Elephas maximus indicus: one gene and its partner. The protein of the gene in region 2 interacts with the protein of the main gene of each other region in a pairwise test. Links are inferred from orthologs where the notes say so. Each region holds a gene or a part of one and is shown on either strand. Other genes may lie near its edges.

Evidence for each region. The genes of interacting proteins can lie anywhere in the genome.
Region 1: the proteins of NEDD9 (region 2) and NFKBIA interact in binary tests that used the Homo sapiens proteins (3 or more experiments, as listed by UniProt). The two-hybrid records come from large-scale screens. The link is inferred for Elephas maximus indicus from reciprocal best matches to the Homo sapiens genes NEDD9 and NFKBIA.

Annotation. Positions count from the first base shown.
Region 1 is NC_064828.1:47,727,370-47,731,116, reverse strand, and holds the start of NFKBIA (NF-kappa-B inhibitor alpha), read left to right. Parts: upstream 1-1,474; 5' UTR 1,475-1,599; coding exon 1,600-1,826; intron 1,827-2,471; coding exon 2,472-2,580; intron 2,581-2,911; coding exon 2,912-3,122; intron 3,123-3,418; coding exon 3,419-3,507; intron 3,508-3,623; coding exon 3,624-3,747. UniProt on the Homo sapiens protein: Inhibits the activity of dimeric NF-kappa-B/REL complexes by trapping REL (RELA/p65 and NFKB1/p50) dimers in the cytoplasm by masking their nuclear localization signals.
Region 2 is NC_064819.1:54,872,380-54,876,126, reverse strand, and holds the start of NEDD9 (enhancer of filamentation 1), read left to right. Parts: upstream 1-820; 5' UTR 821-997; coding exon of another isoform or gene 998-1,009; intron 1,010-3,747. UniProt on the Homo sapiens protein: Scaffolding protein which plays a central coordinating role for tyrosine-kinase-based signaling related to cell adhesion. As a focal adhesion protein, plays a role in embryonic fibroblast migration.

The DNA.
Region 1 (3,747 bases), on a different chromosome or scaffold from region 2:
GTGAAGGTAAAGATAATTGAAATAATCACCAGAAAACTCTGCAAAACTAGAGGCCTCCTGGCGCTAAATCTGAAGAACTCTGATCTAAGTTGCTTTATTTTGCATGGGTCAATTCTAGCAGTACCCATTAACCCACTGCCGTCAAGTGGATTCTAACCCTATAGGACAGAGTAGAACTGCCCCACAGAGACTCTAAGGATCACCTGTTGGATTCGAACTGCCGACCTTTTGGTCAGCAGCCATAGCACTTAACCATTACGCCACCAGGGTTTCCATCCAATTAAAGCAGTAGATGAATTCAATTCATAGCTTGCTGATTAGGAGGTGAGGGTGGGGGCAGCAAGCATAAATTCTATTTCTGCAGATGAAATCGATGAATGCTGAGCACAAACCCCTTTATCTCTAGAGTGACTAAGGTGGATGGGTACAACCACTGCCCTCCCTCAGCGCAAGGGCAGCAAGTACGAGCCAGCAGGGGCAGGATGGGGCAGTGTTAGGGCTGTCTTAGGGCCTTCTGCAGGATGCATAACCGTTACTTTCTTAGCCATCCTTAAGGCCTAATCTTGGGTAAGACACCGTTGAACCCATTCTTCAGCATCCTTCTCCAAATGCTCCTGGAAAATCACCCAGCTGGCACCCAGAAGCAGGTTTTCGGGTCCATTTTCTGCAGCAACACAATGCAAATCAGAGAGAGAGACCTCAATAGTTACTTCGTTATTGCAAGATAGCTATGAAGATTAACGCCTTGCTCTACCTGAAATAATTCTGATCATATTTAACACTTTCCCACTTATTGGGGCAAGCACTTTCCCAGTCAACAAGACTGTTAATCCCGAGGAAACGATCTGAGGGTTCTCCACGCATTTAGGCTTTTAACACCAAAGTTTTCACAACTTCTACCTGGGAAAGCTAAATGTCCCTGCATTGCAAAGAGCCTACTATTGGCAGAATCCCAGAGGGGCCAGCGACAAGAGAACCTTCCCTGCAGAGAGAAGTTTGGGGAAATGAATCCCTATACCCAGCCATCATTTCCACTCTTGCGTTTTCAAAAGATCAAAAAACGGAAAGGACCGGCAGACTGGCAAACCCCAACGAGGAACCGTCCAGCTGGTCTGCGTCCTTGGGATCTCAGACGACCCCAAATCAAGCTGATCGAGGGAAACCCCAAGGAAAGAAGGTTTTTTTTGCAGAGGGCCGGGATTACTGAGTGCTGGCTGCAGGGAAGTACCTGGGGGAGGGGGCTTGGTCGGGAGGACTTTCCAGCCACTCAGCGCTCATCAAAAAGTTCCCTGTACATGACCCTAGTGGCTCATCGCAGGGAGTTTCTCTGTTGAACCCCGGCACAGGGTTTAGGCTTCTTTTTCCCCCTAGCAGAGGACGAGGCCAGTTCTCATTTCTGGTCTGACTAGCTTGGAAATTCCCCGCTCTTGACCCCGCCCCGGAGAAATCCCGGGCCAGCGTTTATAGGGCGCCGCGGCGGCGCTGCCGAGCCCACAACAGTCCTAACCCGCCGACCTGCCCGCGAGCGACACTACAAGGAAGCGCGCAGCCCGCGGCCGAGCGCACCTGGGGAGCAACGTCTGAAGCTTTCACCGCGCCATGTTTCAGCCTGCCGAGCACCCCCAGGAGTGGGCCATGGACGGCCCTCGGGACGGGCTCAAGAAGGAGCGGCTGCTGGACGACCGCCACGACAGCGGCCTGGACTCCATGAAGGACGAGGAGTACGAGCAGATGGTGAAGGAACTGCGCGAGATCCGCCTGGAGCCGCAGGAGGCGCCGCGCGGAGCCGAGCCCTGGAAGCAGCAGCTTACGGAGGACGGAGACTCGTAAGTGTCGAGGGGCTAGGCGGCGGGGTGGGTGGGGGGACGCTGGACGCGCGGGGCCGCGGGGCGGGGGGGGGCGCCGGGCCTGCAGCCTGAGCCGCCAGCGCCCGCGGTGCAGCAGGGCCAGCGCACGGCCGTGAGCCCGGGATTATGCACAGTCCCTGAAACCTTGCAAGGCTGCACGTCTGCGCGTGCAGGGTACGGGGGATTCGGGCTCAGACCCTGGGGGCCGCGGTTCAGCAGCTCTGCTCTACAGCGGCAGTTCCACACACACCCCTAGCCGGGTCTGGGTCCTCCCGGCCGGGGGCGGGGCGGCGGTGAGGAGGCGAAGTCCCCAGTTGCATAAGGGGGGGCGGGAGTTTCTGTCCCGCTGGCGGGCGCCGCGCGGCCGGGAGGGGAAGTACAGGGCGTTCCGGCCTGGCGGGAGGGCGGGGCGGTCTGGCCGGCGCCCGCCGAGTAGGGAGGGGGGGCCCGGAAAGTCCCTGGGCGCCTGCCAGGAACACTCAGCTCATAATAACCTCGCGGAAAACACCGCGGCCTCGGCCTACAGAAACCCCGGCCTTGCGCAATCCCCCGCAGCCCGCGCCTCCCTGGGCCCCACGCAGTGCACTCACCACCCCTGGGGGTTTTTCCCTCTCTTCCCCTCAGGTTCCTGCACTTGGCCATCATCCATGAAGAGAAGGCACTGACGATGGAAGTGATCCGCCAAGTGAAGGGAGACCTAGCCTTCCTCAACTTCCAGAACAACCTGCAGCAGGTGCGCGGCTTGCCAGCCCTGTGCCCTTTCTGACCCTGTGGTGGAGCTGGATTAACAAAGTGGCTCTGGCACAGTTGCCCCCAAATCCTTTCTAAATTAAGTCATCAGTCATTATCTGCCCTAGCCTTTTACAGTTAAACCAATGAGCATCCAACAGGGTAAAGAAAACCCCATTGATTTGGTGAGGCTTTTATGGCCCACCTAGGGCCTCTGGTCTTTCCTCACCCCCTGGAGCAGTGCCCAAACCAGGAGATGTCTGGGGTCCAAGGGAGCCCAGATTGCACGTTTGGTTCATGGCTTATCCTCTTTCTGTTCTTTCTTCTGCTTGTAGACTCCACTTCACTTGGCTGTGATCACCAACCAGCCAGAAATTGCTCAGGTTCTTCTGGGAGCTGGCTGTGATCCTGAGCTCCGAGACTTTCGAGGAAATACCCCCCTACACCTTGCCTGTGAGCAGGGCTGCCTGGCCAGTGTAGGAGTTCTGACACAGACCCGTCCAACCCAGCACCTCCACTCCATCCTGCAGGCCACCAACTACAATGGTGAGTGGGCCACCCCGCCCCACCAGAGGGCAGGTGACGTGGAGCGGGGGAGGTGGGCAGACAACAACAGTTCACCCACTTAAGGAGCCCAGGCAAGAGCTTCAACTTCCAACATGGGAAAGGCTGAGAAAATATGTATGAAAAATTGCCTATATGATGCGTTTATAAATAAGGTTCATTCAGAACCCAGATTCAGAAGACATGCCTGTTTGTCCCTTAAAAGAATAGGTGAAAGACTCTACTTGAGGTGTAAGGATTGAAACAAGTGGTCATATTTTTTCTGTTTGTTCTTCTAGGTCACACATGTCTGCACTTGGCCTCTATCCATGGCTATCTGGCCATTGTGGAGCATTTGGTGTCCCTGGGTGCTGACGTCAATGCTCAGGTGAGTGCTTCATGCCTCCAGGTGGAGTGAACCAGCCACCAGCACCCTGAATAAGACTTGTTGCAAGCAGAAATCCAAACTCAGCCATAAGCATCTTGAATTCCTTTTGGTTTCAGGAGCCCTGTAACGGCCGGACCGCCCTCCACCTTGCAGTGGACCTGCAGAATCCTGACCTGGTGTCACTCTTACTGAAGTGTGGGGCTGATGTCAACAGAGTTACCTACCAGGGCTACTCTCCAT
Region 2 (3,747 bases):
AGGTCAGCAGGAAAAACAGCCGTGTTCAAAGCTGGAGCTAGAAAAACCAAGCCATCAAAGAAAGCAGCTTGCAGTGGGCACCGATGATGTATAGTGCGTCCACCGGCCAACCCCATTGGAGAGGTCACATGGAACCTTTATCCTAAGCCAAGCCAGTGAAGGTCACCAAACGTGTGTGACGCTGGACTCGGGGAGGCCTTCGTGAGAACAAGCCAGGGAAGCTGGTGAGCTGCTTTTCACTGAGGGAAGATTGTATTCCCACTCGTTACAGATTGACATTGGAAGTACTTTGAACAGTGAAAAGAACAAAAAAAGCAAACAGCCACCAAGAAAAAAAAGAGAGAGAGAGAGAGAGATCAGCAGGGGTGGTTAGTGAAAAGGGGCCTGGAGACAGAACAGCTTTTGTTCCCAGAGTTCGTTTCATGTAGAGATTTTGAGGTGACTGGCTTTGAAATGAAGTGGTTTATGAAAGAGTTGCCAAGGCACAGGAAGCGGGACTGGCAGACTGTTTTGTGAAGCAGTTTCTTTAAAATTTAGGTTAATCTTAAAAAGCATTTATTCCCTTTTCTTGGCTTTGCTTTCAGTCTTTCTCTTTTCTTTTTTTGATGGGGTGGAGGGATAGTTAGGTTTGGGAAGGTTCTCCCCTTTCTGTTTTATTTTCCAATCTTTTTCAAAACGTGAAAAGGAATTACCACATTACAAGTTCTTTGTCAGGAGTTTTCAGAAGCTAAGCCATGGGCGGGCACAGTATTACCTTGCTGCGCGAGCCAATAGCCGGACAGCATGCAAATGAGCCCGTGATCCGCCTGCTCTGGTCAAAACAGTGAGCTCAGACGCTTTGGAAACTTAGCTGTGCGCAGGGCTCGGCGGGCTTGGGCGGGCAAACCATCAAGCGACCGTTCTCCTTTTCATTTAACACTCAATGGAGGGACAGACACTCCAGTCCTTAATGCTGTCGTACTAGTTTAGGAAAACGGTTCCATTCACCGCTGCCGAAATGAAATATAAGGTAAGAGATATTTCCTATTAAGCCTTAGGCTGTGCCTGCGAGTGTGGGTGTCTGTCTGTGTCTGTCTGCCTGCCTGTCTTCCGCTGCGGCACGTCCCCGAAGGGAGCCTTTCTGTACCCGGGAGAGTTGAGATGGGTCTAAGTCACTTTGGTTGACATGCAAGCAGGCAGACACCTAATCTCTGAGACCCAGGACCCATCTTCTCTGAAAGTTGCCAGGGAAAGGACCTGGTGAGGAGTTAGTAACACTGAGAACCCATCTACCGCGGTGTGTTCAGAGGGTCTCTAGCTGGAAGCGCAGGAGGTATTGGCTCAGATCTCGCCTGCTTTCCCGGGCCGGGCTCCCCCTGTCCTGGGGAGCAGGAATGAGGGAGGAATCCCACTGCTGGGTCGGTACAGCTTTTCAGGCTTTACTTTAGCGTATTGCGCTTCGTCTGGGAAGCAGTTTGCCATATATCCTTGGAGTGGCTGAAATTAAAAGCCCCAGGTACGGTTATGTAGCTGATGATGGAGAATTTTGACATTCTTAGGTGAAGTTGAATGCCGGAACAAATGAATATTAGCCACTTCTTGAAAACTCTTTTATTGGCATTTGAATGGACTGGCGGGTATGGGCACTTTTACTGTGACTGGAGCTCATAGAATGTGATAATACTTCGGTAGCATTATTTTCCCATGGGTTTTGCACTGTTATTTTTGTGTTTATTCTTGGCAATAGAATTACAACTTGCTCAGCATATCCATTTTGTTTTAAGTAGCCCCATCTAACTGAGACAAGTGGTTTCCAGGGATAGAATTACTCTGTACCGATGTAGATAGCAATGAGTTGGGTGTGATTTTTCCTTGGGTTGATGAATATTTCTAGGATAGACATAAGTACTATCACTTTTAAACAAAAGTGCTGTTATGAAAATAGATTTTGGCATGATATCTATGCTTTTGGATTGACAATTGGCATTACCTGTCTGGCCTCTGAGGTTGTGCTAGCTGGGAGCTACAGGTACTTGGCTTTCCTTCTGAATTACCTAGCTAAGGGCCCATCCTTTCTTAATGTCAGCTTGTAAATACTTGGTTCTGGCTAATAGCCACTGGTTAACTCAGTGATAAATCTTTTGTTCAAAAGCTGTAAATCTCAACGTCCAAAGCCTTTATTGTAGTGCATGAGTTGTGGTTCTCTTTGGAAAGGTTACAACTCTGTGAAGAAACAGATACCAGTTGTCAGCTTTCCCAAAGGGAAGATCAGAAGATGGGTAATCCTGAAGTCCTCAAGATTTGACTTTACAATGCAACCAGAAACAAACCCTTCTACCTGGCAAGAAAGTTCTGCTTCTGGACGTGGTTCACCCCCTATTCCATAGTTCCTTACTCAGAAAAAAAAAAAACTAAACCCAGTGCCATAGAGTCAATTCCGACTCATAGTGACCCTATAGACCAGTTATTGCTTGGCCTGGGGCGATATTTTTGCTCCTTCTCTCCCTCTTGCTGACTGCCTTCATTTCATATAAACTGGCAAGCAGAAAACAGAGAAATTATGTTCATACATTTATTATTGGGAAGTATGAATGGCTGAAAGTAACCTCAAAGGCTGCAGTCTAGAAAGTGACAGCAGCAGGCACGAAGCCTAAAGTCACTTTTATTCAGTGACCTCATCCTGGTTAGCTTTATTCTTATGGAAAGAAAACATCATGGCAGCTTGTAATGTAAAACTGCTACTGGCTTTCATGGAGAAAACCTGCTCTCTTTACCAAGTTTTACCAGTGTTTAAAAAAATAATATTAACAGTGCAAATACACAATTTTTAGCATTCATTAGCTCGTGGACTCTTTTGCCAGCAAGAAAGGGAGAGAGTCCAGCCTTCTCACCTTGTGCTGACTCTAAAATGAACCATTAGTTGGAGGAATCTACTTTTCCTTTCTCATAAAGCCTGTTTGCTCTCTAGATGGTAATGGAAAACTTTGTTTCAGAAGAGAATTTTGTCATTTTAAGTGGAGGAGATGGCACACAGGAAGAGAGAGAGAAAAAAAAAAAACCCAACCCCTCTGTCGATAGGGAGAGGAGTGATGAATAACATTAATAGAGGTTTACTTTGACAATACAGTTATTGTCCCAATGGCTCTATGAGGTGGGCATTATTATCATACTCATTTTCAAATGTGAAAATTGTGGCACAGAGACACTGAGTGATGTACCCAGTGTCACACAGCTAAAAACTGGTAGGATTCGAACTCAGGTGACCTGGCTCCAGAACTCTCGATCTGACCCACTATTAAGAGAAAGAGCTATCTGTGACCGCCCCCTAAAATGTTCTGTGTGACTGAGGTTTACTTCTTCCAGGAAGTTTAAGACTATTTCATCCCAAGCATTCCTGTAGGATAGATTCTTATGTTTTTAGACAGTAAATCTACAAAGCAAAGTGAAGTGTACCTTTGGCACTTATTTGTTTAATTTGAGCCACATTGGTAGTAAAACCAGGTAATTATTAGATTGTAAATTCCTGGAGTCAGGAATTACCTCTTAAACACCATGTTGCTCTGTACACTATAAACTTAGCACAGTCAGAATTTAAAATGTTCATTGAGAGATTTATAATTCAGATCCATTAGTTTTTTTTTTTTTTTAAACTGGATTATCTGGTTTGGCTGCTTCAGGGATCATAACTAAAAAAAAAAGAACAACCAAATCTCTACTCATTTTGCACTTAATGTATACAACTTCAGGCCAGCCAGCTATGTATTTACA